4 separate regions of the Mus musculus genome follow, and regions 2, 3 and 4 are each reported to be linked to region 1. The links are microRNA targets in miRTarBase. Many come from high-throughput screens and were not tested one by one. Region 1 holds a microRNA gene; each other region holds the end of a gene's coding sequence.
What was found. The annotated mature microRNA mmu-miR-466p-5p reads UAUGUGUGUGUACAUGUACAU and lies in region 1 at 1,296-1,316, shown strand. An mRNA with a match to its seed (bases 2 to 7 or 8) in the 3' UTR can be bound and repressed. Matches are read on the target gene's strand: a 7mer-m8 pairs with bases 2 to 8, a 7mer-A1 pairs with bases 2 to 7 and ends in A, and an 8mer does both.

Region 2: the mRNA of Tacr2 is a reported target of mmu-miR-466p-5p. Seed matches in the 3' UTR shown: 7mer-m8 at 954-960.
Region 3: miRTarBase lists Six4 as a target of mmu-miR-466p-5p. Seed matches in the 3' UTR shown: 7mer-m8 at 1,290-1,296.
Region 4: the mRNA of Rab3c is a reported target of mmu-miR-466p-5p. The part of its 3' UTR that is shown has no 7-base or 8-base seed match.

What each region holds. Positions count from the first base shown.
Region 1 is chr2:10,504,725-10,507,909 of GRCm38, forward strand. It overlaps Mir466p (microRNA 466p), which reads left to right and starts at 1,282; the gene lies at 1,282-1,370. All of the region lies in intron 10 of Sfmbt2 (Scm-like with four mbt domains 2), which reads left to right. Mir467e (microRNA 467e) reads left to right here and starts at 997; the gene lies at 997-1,083. It overlaps Mir467d (microRNA 467d), which reads left to right and starts at 2,906; the gene lies at 2,906-2,990.
Region 2 is chr10:62,264,854-62,268,038 of GRCm38, forward strand. It overlaps Tacr2 (tachykinin receptor 2), which reads left to right. Exons shown (of 5, transcript NM_009314.4): 5 at 198-1,137. The coding sequence ends at 414. Among named protein-coding and RNA genes, the nearest start is that of Tacr2, 14 kb to the left of the region's middle.
Region 3 is chr12:73,101,005-73,104,189 of GRCm38, reverse strand. It overlaps Six4 (sine oculis-related homeobox 4), which reads left to right. Exons shown (of 3, transcript NM_011382.3): 3 at 1-3,185. The coding sequence ends at 748. Among named protein-coding and RNA genes, the nearest start is that of Six4, 11 kb to the left of the region's middle.
Region 4 is chr13:110,059,229-110,062,413 of GRCm38, reverse strand. It overlaps Rab3c (RAB3C, member RAS oncogene family), which reads left to right. Exons shown (of 5, transcript NM_023852.5): 5 at 412-3,185. The coding sequence ends at 599. Among named protein-coding and RNA genes, the nearest start is that of Gm32881, 54 kb to the right of the region's middle.

The DNA of each region.
Region 1 (3,185 bases):
CATGCACACACATTCATAGGAATGGCCAGAGCTATGTCTCAGTTAGGAGGTGAGCACTCTTGCCAGAGTCAGGAGGATGACGAGTTCAAATTCATGTTTAACTCACATTGAGTTAGAGATCAGCATGCGATTCGTGTGATGTCCTCCAAATATGTGCATGTGAGTATAGTTGTGTGCATATTCACTTTTATACATGAATATGCATATATACTCATGCACATACACGAATGTCACTCATATATTTTTTTGAATGTTATGTGACTCAGAGATTTAGAGCTTATGCAGTACTGGTCCAGAGCTATGCCTCAGTTAGGAGGTGAATACTCTTGCCAGAGTCAGGAGGATATGAAGTTCAAATTAATGTTTAACTTCATGATGAGTTATAGATAAGGCTGTAATTTATGTTTTTGCCTCTGTGTACGTGTATATGTCTATAGGTAAGTGTGCTTGTACATGTGGGTATATGTATATGCATATATATACACATATATGGACACATACATGTGTACACAAATACACATGGCAATCATCCATTTGATTTATATGTGCTTAGAGTTTTATAGAGTGCATATTCATGGGACAGGAAACATCTCATTAATCAGATGCAAACCATTTGCCAGAGTCAGGAGGATCTGGAGTTCAAATTCATGTTTAACTTCATGATGAGTTAGAAATCGTACTGGATTTATGTGATGGACCCTAGGTATGTGCATGTGTGTGTAACTTTGTGTGAATGTACATGTATGCATATAATTATACATATACATACACATGCATGCACACATACAGACTTGAATACTCACACACATAAGTATGACTCTCATTGATCAATTTGAATGATATATGTCATTGAATTTTATTGATTATGAAGTAGAAGGACACTGAATGGTCTCACTCAACAGGTGTAAAAAATTGACAGTGTCAAGAGGATCAGGTGTTTAATTTCATGCTTAACTTCATGAAAGAGTGGTGCAATGTGATGGTCCCTATGTATGTGCCTGTGTGCATAAGTGTGAGCATGTATATGTGTGTATATTTTATGCATATACATACACACACCTATATACACATGCACACAGACATGCGGGAATGGCCCTCACGGATCCATTTGAATGATATGTGACCTACTGCTTTGGAGGTTATGTATGACTGGGCCAGAGTGAGGTCTCACAAACCACGGGAAAACCCTTGGTAGAGTCGGGAAGATCAGGAGTGCAAGTTCATGGTAAAGGCATGATGAGTTAGAGGTCATCCTGGCATTCATGTGATTGCCCCTATGTATGTGTATATGTGTTTATGTGTGTGTACATGTACATGTGTGAATATGATGATATATACATACACGCACACATAAGACACATATGAGCACACAGACACACAGGAATGGCACTCACTCATCGATCTATGTGACTGTGAGCTTTGGAGATTATGTATGACTAGATCAGGGAGAGTTATCACCCATCATATTAAAAATGCTTGTTTAAATCAGGAGGTCAGGAGGTCAAATTCATGCTTTATTTCATGATGACTTAGAGATCTGCCTGGGAATCATGTGATGCCCCCATGTATGTGTATATGTGTGTAACTGTGTGTGGATTTGTGTACATGAATATACATACCTACACACACGTAGACCCATACACAGACACACATATGAATGCCACTCCTCAGTCCATTTGAATGATATGTGACTTAGAGTTTTAAGATTCCTCAGTACTGAATAGGGAGAGGTCTCACTCAGCAGGTGAAATCCCTTGCCAGAGTCAGGTGGATCAGGAGTTCAAATTTGTGCTGAATTTCATGATGAGTTGGAAATCAGCACGGGATTCATGTGATGCCCACCAAGAATGTGCATGTGTGTATAGTTGTGTGCATATTCATTTCTCTATATGAATATGCATATGCACACATGCACACACATTCATAGGAATGGCCAGAGTTATTTCTTAGGTAGGAGGTGAATAATCTTGCTAGAGTCAGGAGAATATGGTGTTCAAGTTTATGTTTAACTTCATGATGCATTAGAGATCAGCATGTGTTTCATTGATGCACACCAAAATGTGCATGTGTGTGTAGTTGTGTGCATATTCACTTCTCTATGTGAATATGCATATACACACATGCAGACACAGGAATGGCACTCATATATCCTTTGGAATGGTATGTGACTCAGAGCTTTAGAGCTTATGCAGTGCTGGGCCAGAGCTATGTCTCAGTTAGGAGGTGGATGCTCTTGCCAGCGTCAGGAGGTCCCAGAGTTCAAATTCATGTTTAACTTCCTGATGAGTTACAGATCAGCCTGTTATTCATGTGATTGTTTCTGTGTATGTGTATAGATAAGTTTGTCTGTACATGCGGATATATGAAAAGACATATATTGACACATATTCACACATGCATGCATACAGAAACACATGGCAGTCATCCATAAGTTTTATATGTGCTTAGAATTTCATAGAGTGTATATTTATGGTACAGTGAAATATCTCGCCAACTAGATGAAAACCGCTTGCCAGAATCAGAAGTCTTGGAGTTCAGAATCATGCTTAACTTAATGATCAGTTAGTGATCATCCTGGATTCGTGTGATGGACCCTAGGTATGTACATGCACACATAATTTTGTGTGCATGTACATGTGTGTATATGATTATACATAACACACACACACACACACACACGTATAAAAGCAAGCACACACACACCAAGGTATGGCATTCATCGATCCATTTGAATGATATATGTCTTAGAATGTTACTGATTATGCAGTAGAAGGACAGTGAATGGTCTCACTCACAAGGTGTAAACAATTGGCATTGTCAGGAGGATCAGGAGTTCAATTTCATGCTTAACTTCATGAGCAGTTAGAGATCATCCTGGAATAATGTGATGGCCCCTATGTATGTGCCTGTGTGCATAAGTGCGCGCATGTATATGCGTGTATATTTTATGCATATACATACACACACCTACACACACATGCACACAGACATGCGGGAATGGCCCTCACGGATCCATTTGAATGATATGTGACCTACTGCTTTGGAGGTTATGTATGACTGGGCCAGGGTGAGGTCTCACAAACCACGGGAAAACCCTTGGTAGAGTCGGGAAGATCAGGAGTGCAAGTTCATGGTAAAGGCATGATGAGTTAGAGGTCATCCTGGCATTCATGTGATTGCCCCTA
Region 2 (3,185 bases), not on the chromosome of region 1:
CTGGCTGCTCCAAGAAACTAAATCCATTCAATTGTGCATCTCTCCACACAGCCCCGAGTTGTTGAGTTGTTGGTAGACTCTTCTAAGCGAGGCTTCTTTGCAAGGGAGCTAATCTCCTGGGGCGTGGAGCAGTCACATAGCCGACGACTCCTGTACCCCTATCTCCCTTGCTTAAAGTGACTCTCCACCCTCGGCAGGTTTCGCTCTGGATTCCGGCTTGCTTTCCGGTGCTGCCCCTGGGGGACACCAACCGAGGAAGACAGGCTGGAGCTGACCCACACTCCGTCCATCTCCAGGAGAGTCAACCGGTGTCACACCAAGGAGACTTTGTTCATGACAGGGGATATGACCCACTCTGAGGCTACCAATGGGCAGGTTGGGGGCCCCCAGGATGGGGAGCCTGCTGGACCCTGAAGTCTTGAGCTTGTCTGCAGGGCCCAGGCTTAGCCCCTTTGAGAATCGGCTGATGGAAAAGCCCTTACATAATAGCTTGTCCCACACCCCATTCTTCAACACACCAACAGAAAAGAAGCAAGACGGTGCTCAGAGCGCCACAGGCAATGCTGATACAAAGAGCTTGGAGAGCAGACACCCATCATAGGCATTCCAGCAACCGAGGAAGGGGCCAGGAAGACTGGGAACCAACATTTGGCCAATCCAGGAGCTGCAAAGTGAGTTGTCTCCCGGGAGTATAGAGAGGGGTGGAAAAACGATCTCAGGGAAGACAACTGCAGTCATAATGAGAAAGGCAGCTGAAGGATGGTGACATGGCTCAGCAGCGAGGTCGTAAAGCCACTCTCTGCTAAGCCTCATGACCTAAGTGCAGTTCCTGAAACCCACACAGAAGGAAAGAACCAACGTCTGCAAGCTGTCCCCTGACCTCCCCAAGTGTGTGTATGCACATGTGTGTGTGCATGTATATCTGCACATGTATGCACACACACACACACACACACACATGTACATGTGCCTGTGCACATACAATGTTAAAGAGAAAGAAGGCAACCACTCCAGTGTTAGGGTCACAGGAAAAGGTGGGGACTGTGGCAGCCTGCAGAGGACAAGCACCCAAAGGGAAACTCAGCTGCTTTGCTCTGGAACACAGTTGCCAGGTTTTCCAAATAAAGCCTGAGATCTATATATATATATGTATATGTTTATGTACACACACGTGTATATGTGTGTATATGTATATATATGTACACACATATACGTATACACACACACATATATATATACATCATACACACACACACACACACACACACACACACACACACACACATGGAAGCTCCAGGCTCCTAAATTTGGTTCATGAAAATGCTTAGAGACACTGGCTAAGCCAGCGTGGGGCACAACCACGACACTGTCTCCTCGCCAAAGATAAGCCACGAAGGAAGAAGTTCCCCCACTTGGCTGTGAATGGATCCAGGGCGTCTCTGCCTTAGGATCTGAAAGCTCCCATCCCGCCCAGAGCGGAGGCAGTTAACAGTCCAGAGGAACCTCAGTTGAGATATAGGTCAATCTGACCCCCTACAGGATTGCCCTGAGGCTTGGTGGAAGTGATGCCTTCAAACCAGCAGGCTACATTCAGCTTAATGCTAAGTAAATAGTAACCAAGATGCTTCCCACTTCATCAGCTGTTAGGACACAAAAGCACCTACAAGTCGGGACCACAGCTCCCACACACAGGTGAAGCACACCGGTGGTCCCAGTTCTAAGATCGTCCAGCCCAGGCTGCTCCAGGACTGTCCATCTCCCTGTTCCCCAGCAAATGGTGACTCATTTGCTGCCTGCCCAGTGCCCTCTGAAAACCAAATAAGCTGTAAACATGTGTTCAAAGCTTAATGTCATCTGAGTTCTCCTAGAGTTCACGGTGCCAGTACCCCCAATAAAGGGCTCTTATGTCACTTAGAGCTGCAGTAGTGACCGGGACATCATAGAGTTTTGGGAAATCCACCAAAGGGTGGGGATGAACCCCTAACTGCAGAGCTAGTATAGGCAAATGGTCCAGGCAGGGCTAAGGTTCTACAGTGTGGAGAGGGGCCCCAGCAGTCACTTTGTCTCTTTGGACTGCCCCCACATTCATGAGCTGGAATGTGTAAAGGGTGTGCCCTCATCTCGTCCAGAGGCTGAGGAGATGGGGGTAGGGGAAGGGGGAGGACACAGTGAGAAGGGGTTGGACTCAGAGGAACATGGATAGCTCTCTGAGATGGTGGCTTCTTATTCCAAGACTCACAGACCCAAGTTCCTACAGGAGCCCAGGATGTCCCTTTAAGAGCTTCATCCAGGAATGTCATCGACACCATAGGTTACTGGGAGAAGAAGCACTTTATTGTATTTCTGGGGACTTCAGGAAAGCCAAGACCAAATCTTAGTTACTCTCAGCTGATGGCCATTTACCAGGGAGAAAATGAATCTTATATTACCTTTCTCCAGAGATTAAAGAAGGCTGTTGGAACACATGTTGATGCAATACCAGAGCTCTTGGAGGTCTCCAAAAGGAGACTCCCTGACAGTCAGATATTCATAGAGAATTGTACAAGCCATTGCAGAGTTATTTCTTTAATCCAACTACTCGAGAGGCAGAGGCAGAGGCAGAGGCAGTTCTGTGAGTTCGAGGCCAGTCTGGTCTACAGAATGAAATCTAGACAACCAGAACCACATGATGAGACCCTGTCTTTAAAAAAAAAAAATCAGCAAAAACCAAAAATCCTTTTGCAGAATCTGGTGGCTGAGCCAGTGAGATCCTAGACCAGTTGTTCCAGACTAAAAACCTCAGTGTATTGTAAACTTGACCAGGACAGGGAAAGGAAAAAGGACACACAACATATGGACTTGTTAATAAGCTGTTAATGAGCATTGTCCAAGGAGCGGGCATGGTATCTTGAGGGCATGCTATCTCTGTGGACAGCCAGGGAACTTCCTGAAGGAATGCCCCAAGGACAGCTAGACAGGTGTCTTAGTTAGGGTTTTACTGCTGTAAACAGATAGCATGACCGAGACAACTCTTATAAGGACAACATTTAATTGGGGCTGGCTTACAAGTTTAGAGGTTCAGTCCATTATCATCAAGGTGGGAGCATGGCAGCATCCAGGCAGGCATGGTGCAGGAGGAGCTGAGAGTTCTACATCTTCATCTGAAGGCTGCTAGAAGAATACTGACTTCCAGACAGCTGGGGTGA
Region 3 (3,185 bases), not on the chromosome of region 1:
TGAGCCAGCCACAGTCCAGCACGGTAAACTTTTCCTGAGCCCTCTTACCCCCAGTGCAGTGGTATACACCGTTCCTAATTCAGGCCAGACTGTAGGAGCTGTGAAACAGGAAGGCTTAGAAAGAGGCCTGGTCTTTTCTCAGTTGATGCCTGTCAATCACAGTGCACAAGTAAATGCAAGCCTGTCTTCGGAAAATCTCTCTGGGAGTGGCCTCCATCCTCTGACCTCGTCGTTGGTTAATGTGTCCGCCGCCCACGGTTTTTCCCTGACCCCCCCTACACTACTTAATCCCACTGAGCTCAACCCTGACCTTGCCGAGAGCCAGCCCGTGTCTGCACCTGTGGCAAGCAAATGTACTGTGTCATCTGTCAGCAACACTAACTATGCAACCCTTCAGAACTGTTCCCTTATTCCGGGGCAAGACCTATTGTCCGGCCCGATGACCCAGGCTGCCCTGGGTGAGATCGTACCCACAGCTGAAGAGCAGGTGAGCCACGCCTCAACAGCAGTCCACCAGGATTTTGTCAGAGAACAGCGCTTGGTTCTGCAGTCAGTCCCTAACATAAAAGAGAATTTCTTACAAAATTCTGAGAACAAAGCAACAAACAACTTAATGATGTTAGACTCGAAATCCAAGTACGTCCTGGACGGCATGGTTGAAGCCGGCTGTGAAGACCTGGGAACGGACAAAAAAGAGCTGGCCAAGCTCCAAACCGTCCAGTTGGATGAAGACATGCAAGACTTATAAGCCCGATTCACTCCACATCCCTCCTTCTCTGCTTTAACAGGAGCAAATCCTTTTCTTTGCGAAGCCCCGAGGATGGAGAGCTTCTATTCATTTAGAGGAAAACACTGTACTTCTGCAAGCAAGCGCATCTGGCTTGGGCTGCATGAAGAGCGTAGTTAAATACACAGGAGTGGACCTGCACTGCCGAAGCCCCTCTGGTCACATCGTGCTCGCTTTGAAACAGATGGGGCGAGGCAACAGTGAATGCATCCATCTAACCATCGTCTATCATTTAGTCAGCAGTATAACTCCACAGGCGAAATGGAAGGTGACAGTATTTCAGATTTAAAATGCATACACCTAATTTAGGAGATTAAATAATAGCTCCAGGCTCTTGGAAGCGATGCAGTTGGTTTTTTGTTTGTTTGTTTGTTTGTTTACTTTTACTCCATGGGCATTGAGATGGTTAAGAAACAATGGTACTCTAGACTATCATAAGGGTATATTTTTCAAATTATGTAGCTTGTGTGTGTGTGTGTGTGTGTGTGTGTGTGTGTACATACACACATTCATCGTTTTCAGCATTTGGGGGAAAGGCTTGGTTTTAAGTCTCTACGTGTTTCCAAATGTGATTGCTAATAGTCAAACGTGGCAGAGTAAGTTTGAGACGCCACTAAACTCTGACACAACTTGGGTACGAATGTAAATACAGGTCTCTAAGCAAGATCTGAGTAAGTACAGTGAGTTTTTATTTATACCTTGTATGTCTCCCTTCAGGCTCTGTGAACTGAAAAGAAAATGTCTTCTTACTGTTTAATTTATATTTATTGTTTGAGCGGGAATAGGACATCTTTGTTTCCAACCAAGGTTTTTTTTTTGTTTTTGTTTTTTTTTGTTTTTGGTTTTTTTTTTTGTAATTGTTATCAAGAGTCTATTGAGGTCAATATTAATTAACACTGAAACAGGAACTGTTAACCCCCAGTACTGGAACTTTGTCACTTCTCATCACATCCTTCTTACTTTAACAACTTTGATTCATTTAAATATGTTTTCTATAGACTCCTATGTGCCTTTTTACCTTGTGGCCTTTTTATTACTAGTCAGGTACAGAAGTGTCAACAGCAGTGTTGATGGTTCTTTTGTACCGTCAAACAGGGTTAAGTTTACCACAGAACCCCTGCATAAGGCAGGACTTCCGTTTCACTAAATATCATGTGGAAGGTTTGCCATGCACATGGATAGACAGATATAGTCGATGCTTTTCATTATAATGAAAGTAGAAAAGTATAGAAAGACCATGAAACAGCAGTTCTGCAGGCTATGACTATGAAAACAACCTTTTTTTTTTTAATTCTGTTTTGGTTTTAGTTTTCTTGAGACAGGGTTTCTCTGTTAAACAGAGAAACTGTTACTGACCATCCTGGAACTCACTCTGTAGACCAGGCTGGCCTTGAACTCACAGAGATTCACCTGCCTCTGCCTTCCAAGTACCGGGATTCAAGGCATGGGCCACCACTACCCAGCTTGACAACAACCACTTAAAATAAAAAATATATATGTAAATTGTACTAAAAATCTGTTCAACTGAAGCTCATTTCCAGTGTTTTGAATTGGTCGGTATACATGACTGTTGCCTGTCGTATTTAATGAAGTAAATCCTTCCGGTTTCTGTGGGAAATTTTGTTTAAAAGTTTTAGTAGGACTCTGCATCTATGATATAACAATGCAATGCCTTTATGCTGTTAGTCCAGGGCATCTCTGATTTCAGAAAGAAGGCGACTTTTTCTAAGGTGACTTCTCAGTTGCTAAGCACAAAGATAGTACCACTCCTTGGTTTTGTTAAGGTGGTGGAAGGGTTTCTAACTAACACACTCATCAGCTGAGCCTGCAGAGTAACGGTCACTGGGGACTTAACATTTGTTGTTACACAAGGGAACTTTCAGTCAAGATTAAGAGCCCTATGAAGAATTCTGTGCCCATCATTTTGATCAAGAACCTAAATCCCATTTTTGTGAAATTGGTGAATGTCCCTCAATTGCTGAAATATGCAATTTGGGCCAGAGGTTGTTGTTTGTTTGTTTTGGATGTTCTTGTTTTATTTTCATGAAGCCAGTTGCTTCAGTGTGGTTTTCCACTCTGACACTACTTACACAGCTTGGCTGCCCCCGTCTCCCAGTTATTTACTGATCATATTAATGTGATTAGCATCCTGGTCTTGTAGTATAGTTTACATTTTTAAAAAATGTTATTTTTTACTAGATTGCTGCAGATATCAAGAGGACATTATTTTAAAATACCTGTCTGGTAAGGGAAGTGGGAAAGTCAAAACGTTCTATAAGGCGGGTGTGTGTGGGTGTCTGCGTGCGTGTGATGGAAAACTCCCATATATCTGACAAAAGTATCTTTTTTATTCCGAGTTCTTCCTCCTTTTCTCCTTATGAGAAAGAAAAGATAGCAC
Region 4 (3,185 bases), not on the chromosome of region 1:
AGCAGTCGCAGACACGCCCCATGCTTTGCTCTTAATCCAGCCAAGTCAACAAAGATGTATGAGCACACCAGAGGCGGGAGCAAGGAGTCAGGATGAGAGGACTGGCTGGTGAGGGTTCCTAATGATACTACTACTGTTAACTCTTGATTTCCTCTCAGAAAATCTCTCTGCCGTTGCAGACATCATGAATGAATCAGTAGAGACAAATAAAATGAGTATCATCAACCCCTCTTTATAACTCTCTGCTCTGGTCAGTGGGTAGCGCTTCTTGTCCAGCAGTCATCTCCGGTCTAAGAAATCGCACCCATCTCCCACCGCTGCCTTTGCCCCATCGACATTCAAAACCGCAACTGAGTCCATTGGACTTCAGAAACGTGAAATGATGGGCCTGTTTCTGTGTGTTTCCTGCAGGGTTTGAGTTTTTTGAAACCAGCGCCAAGGATAACATCAACGTGAAGCAAACCTTCGAGCGCCTCGTAGATATCATTTGTGACAAAATGTCAGAGAGCTTGGAGACCGACCCAGCCATCACAGCGGCAAAGCAGAGCACGAGGCTCAAGGAGACCCCTCCTCCACCACAGCCCAACTGTGGCTGCTAATGTCCCCCACACAGGAGCTCCAAGGGGCTCCAGAGCAGCCAAGAAGCAGCATTGATAAATGGTCTATTAGCCTTCGATTATACTGCCTAATAATTATTTGAAGGAAGTCTTTGATGGCAGTGGCCCATATATGCATTCAAACCGTGAGCAATTTCCTGTGTTAATATGTGGCAAACTTGCTCTTATATTTGTAAGGATCATTCATCTATAAACACCTGCTACTTGCATGTAACTTATCATTTATTTGTCTTTCATAATCTTTTTGGGGGGTGCAACCTTTTTCTCAATTAAGCTATTGCAGAAACTACAGACTATAATTTTACTGCAAATAACTTTCATGCCACGGATTCATATCATGCTTTTCATTTGTATGGATGATAACCTAGAGTCCCTTTGTGTGTGCGCATGTGTGTGTGTGTGTGTGTGTGTGTGTGTGTGTGCGCGCGGGCGCGTGCGTGCTGTGACCAAGGAGTGATGTCAGGAAACTTAGTTTTGCCTTTGTCTAAAAAGAAAGTGGGACTTTTGCTCTTGATTGGAGACCCCATCACAGGTCTGGGCAGTGTACCAGTAGGAAATGTATATATATATATATATATTGCACTTTTGTTAATAATATCAGAAGGGTGTGTTGACTTTGAAAAACATTGAGGGATTGGGTACAGGGTCATTCAGGAGGCTGAGGCAGGAAGATAATGAGTTAAAGTAGCTACAAACCATACAACTCGATCATGGGATAAAGAAAAAGTAAAGAAAATGAAATCCAGGCCCTTGCAAGTTTTCTTGAACCACATCAACACTAAGGGAGCTTTGCAGGCCTGACTGCCGGGATTCTTGCCCATGATTCTGCTCATCTCTGCGTGCTTGAGAGCAATTACTACTACAGAAGGGATGTGACTAGCTGTGGCATTCCATGACCTGAGTGACCTCCATCCCTTAACGACTTGTCTCACACCACAAAACACCACCATGGCTCTCTGGAACCCCCACCAATTCTGAACTCGAAATTGGCTTGAAACTTTGTTAGTGCCCCTCTTCCTATAAAAGGTAGGCCAACATTTCAACCACTGTTCTCTGCTCCACTTTAACTAAGCCTTCCCCCCTCTTTAGGAGGCAATTAGGTAACCTTTCCATGAGTCCTGACTGAGGGGGAAAAACCATTTTTTATAACCATATTTTTCAGAGGATTTATAATTCTAAAAGTTACATAAGTCTCTAGACATGCTTAAGATAAACAGATCATAGAGGTGAGCGGTCCAGAAAATTGATGAGCCATGGCGGTTGAAGAGAGGGGTGAGACCCTTGAATATCCTGTCCTCTCTTCTAGGTTTTCTGAAGACCATATAGAAATAATATGCAAAAATCCCGGTTGTGGTGGTGCCTACTCTTGATCCCAGCATTCTGGAGGCAGAGGTAGGCAGATCTCTGAGTTTCAGGCTAGAATGTTCTACAGAGTGAGTTCTAGGATAGCAAAGGCTACACAGGGAAACCTGCTTAAAAAAAAAGGAGGAGGAGGAGGAAGAGGAGGAGGAGGAGAAGGAGAAGGAGAAGGAGAAGGAGAAGGAGAAGGAGAAGGAGAAGGAGAAGGAGAAGGAGAAGGAGAAGGAGAAGGAGAAGGAGAAGGAGAAGAAGAAGAAGAAGAAGAAGAAGAAGAAGAAGAAGAAGAAGAAGAAGAAGAAGAAGAAGAAGAAGAAGAAGAAGAAGAAATAATAGAAAAACAACTCTTAACCTCTGTGCCAAATGCCAAGAGAAATCTCTCTGCCTTCCAGAAGTCTTTGCGGCAAGGATCTTAGGAAGGCACCAGTTTGAAGGACAGAACAGTTTCGTGAGGCAGACATTTTCCCTTTTTGGTAGTTGTGTAAAAGATCCACCCTTCCCTTGGGCGAGGCTGCTGACAGGCTAGTGTGTGCATGTTTTCTTCTCATGTGCTTAGTTGCAAACTTATAAATTAGTGGTAAGTTTCCACTTTGACACCTAGAGGAGCAAGTGTTGGCTCATCAAAGATAAGAAGACACTGGTGATTTTTAAATTTTTAATGACACCTAAATTCAAGAATCATAGAAATTAACATAAAGGGAAAGAGAGAAGTGAGGGGCATAAAGTAGAATTTCTTTGCAATAATATTCATATGATGTCATCCTATTTCTATGACCTGGGCCATAATACAACCATATTGAATACTATGGCTGTCAAGCTCATTTTTACAATCTACTACAAAACAATGAAGTCAGGAAACCTGGGCCTCTTTCCTTGCATGCTTACAATAAGTGTAAAAGGCCTCACTCAGATATTTTGAATGGCTTCTTCAAAAGGATGTGGGCATGCGTGTGTTATCAAACAAGAGCAGGTAGGAGAGAAAGGGAAACAACCACGTTTACTCATTTGAAAATTCCTTGGAAGAACTGGTTGAAAAGGATTTACTGAAGCCAGATGCCCACATACATGCTCTGTTGAAAATTCCAAAGTTAAGACCACGATGTGCTAGTCAGTGGAGAGAGGGGCAGCAGTAGCCCTAATGTCATTGTCCCAGAACATTCCATACCTCCTATTTTCCAGATTCCCATAGAAACACAGTTGTACCAAATGAAA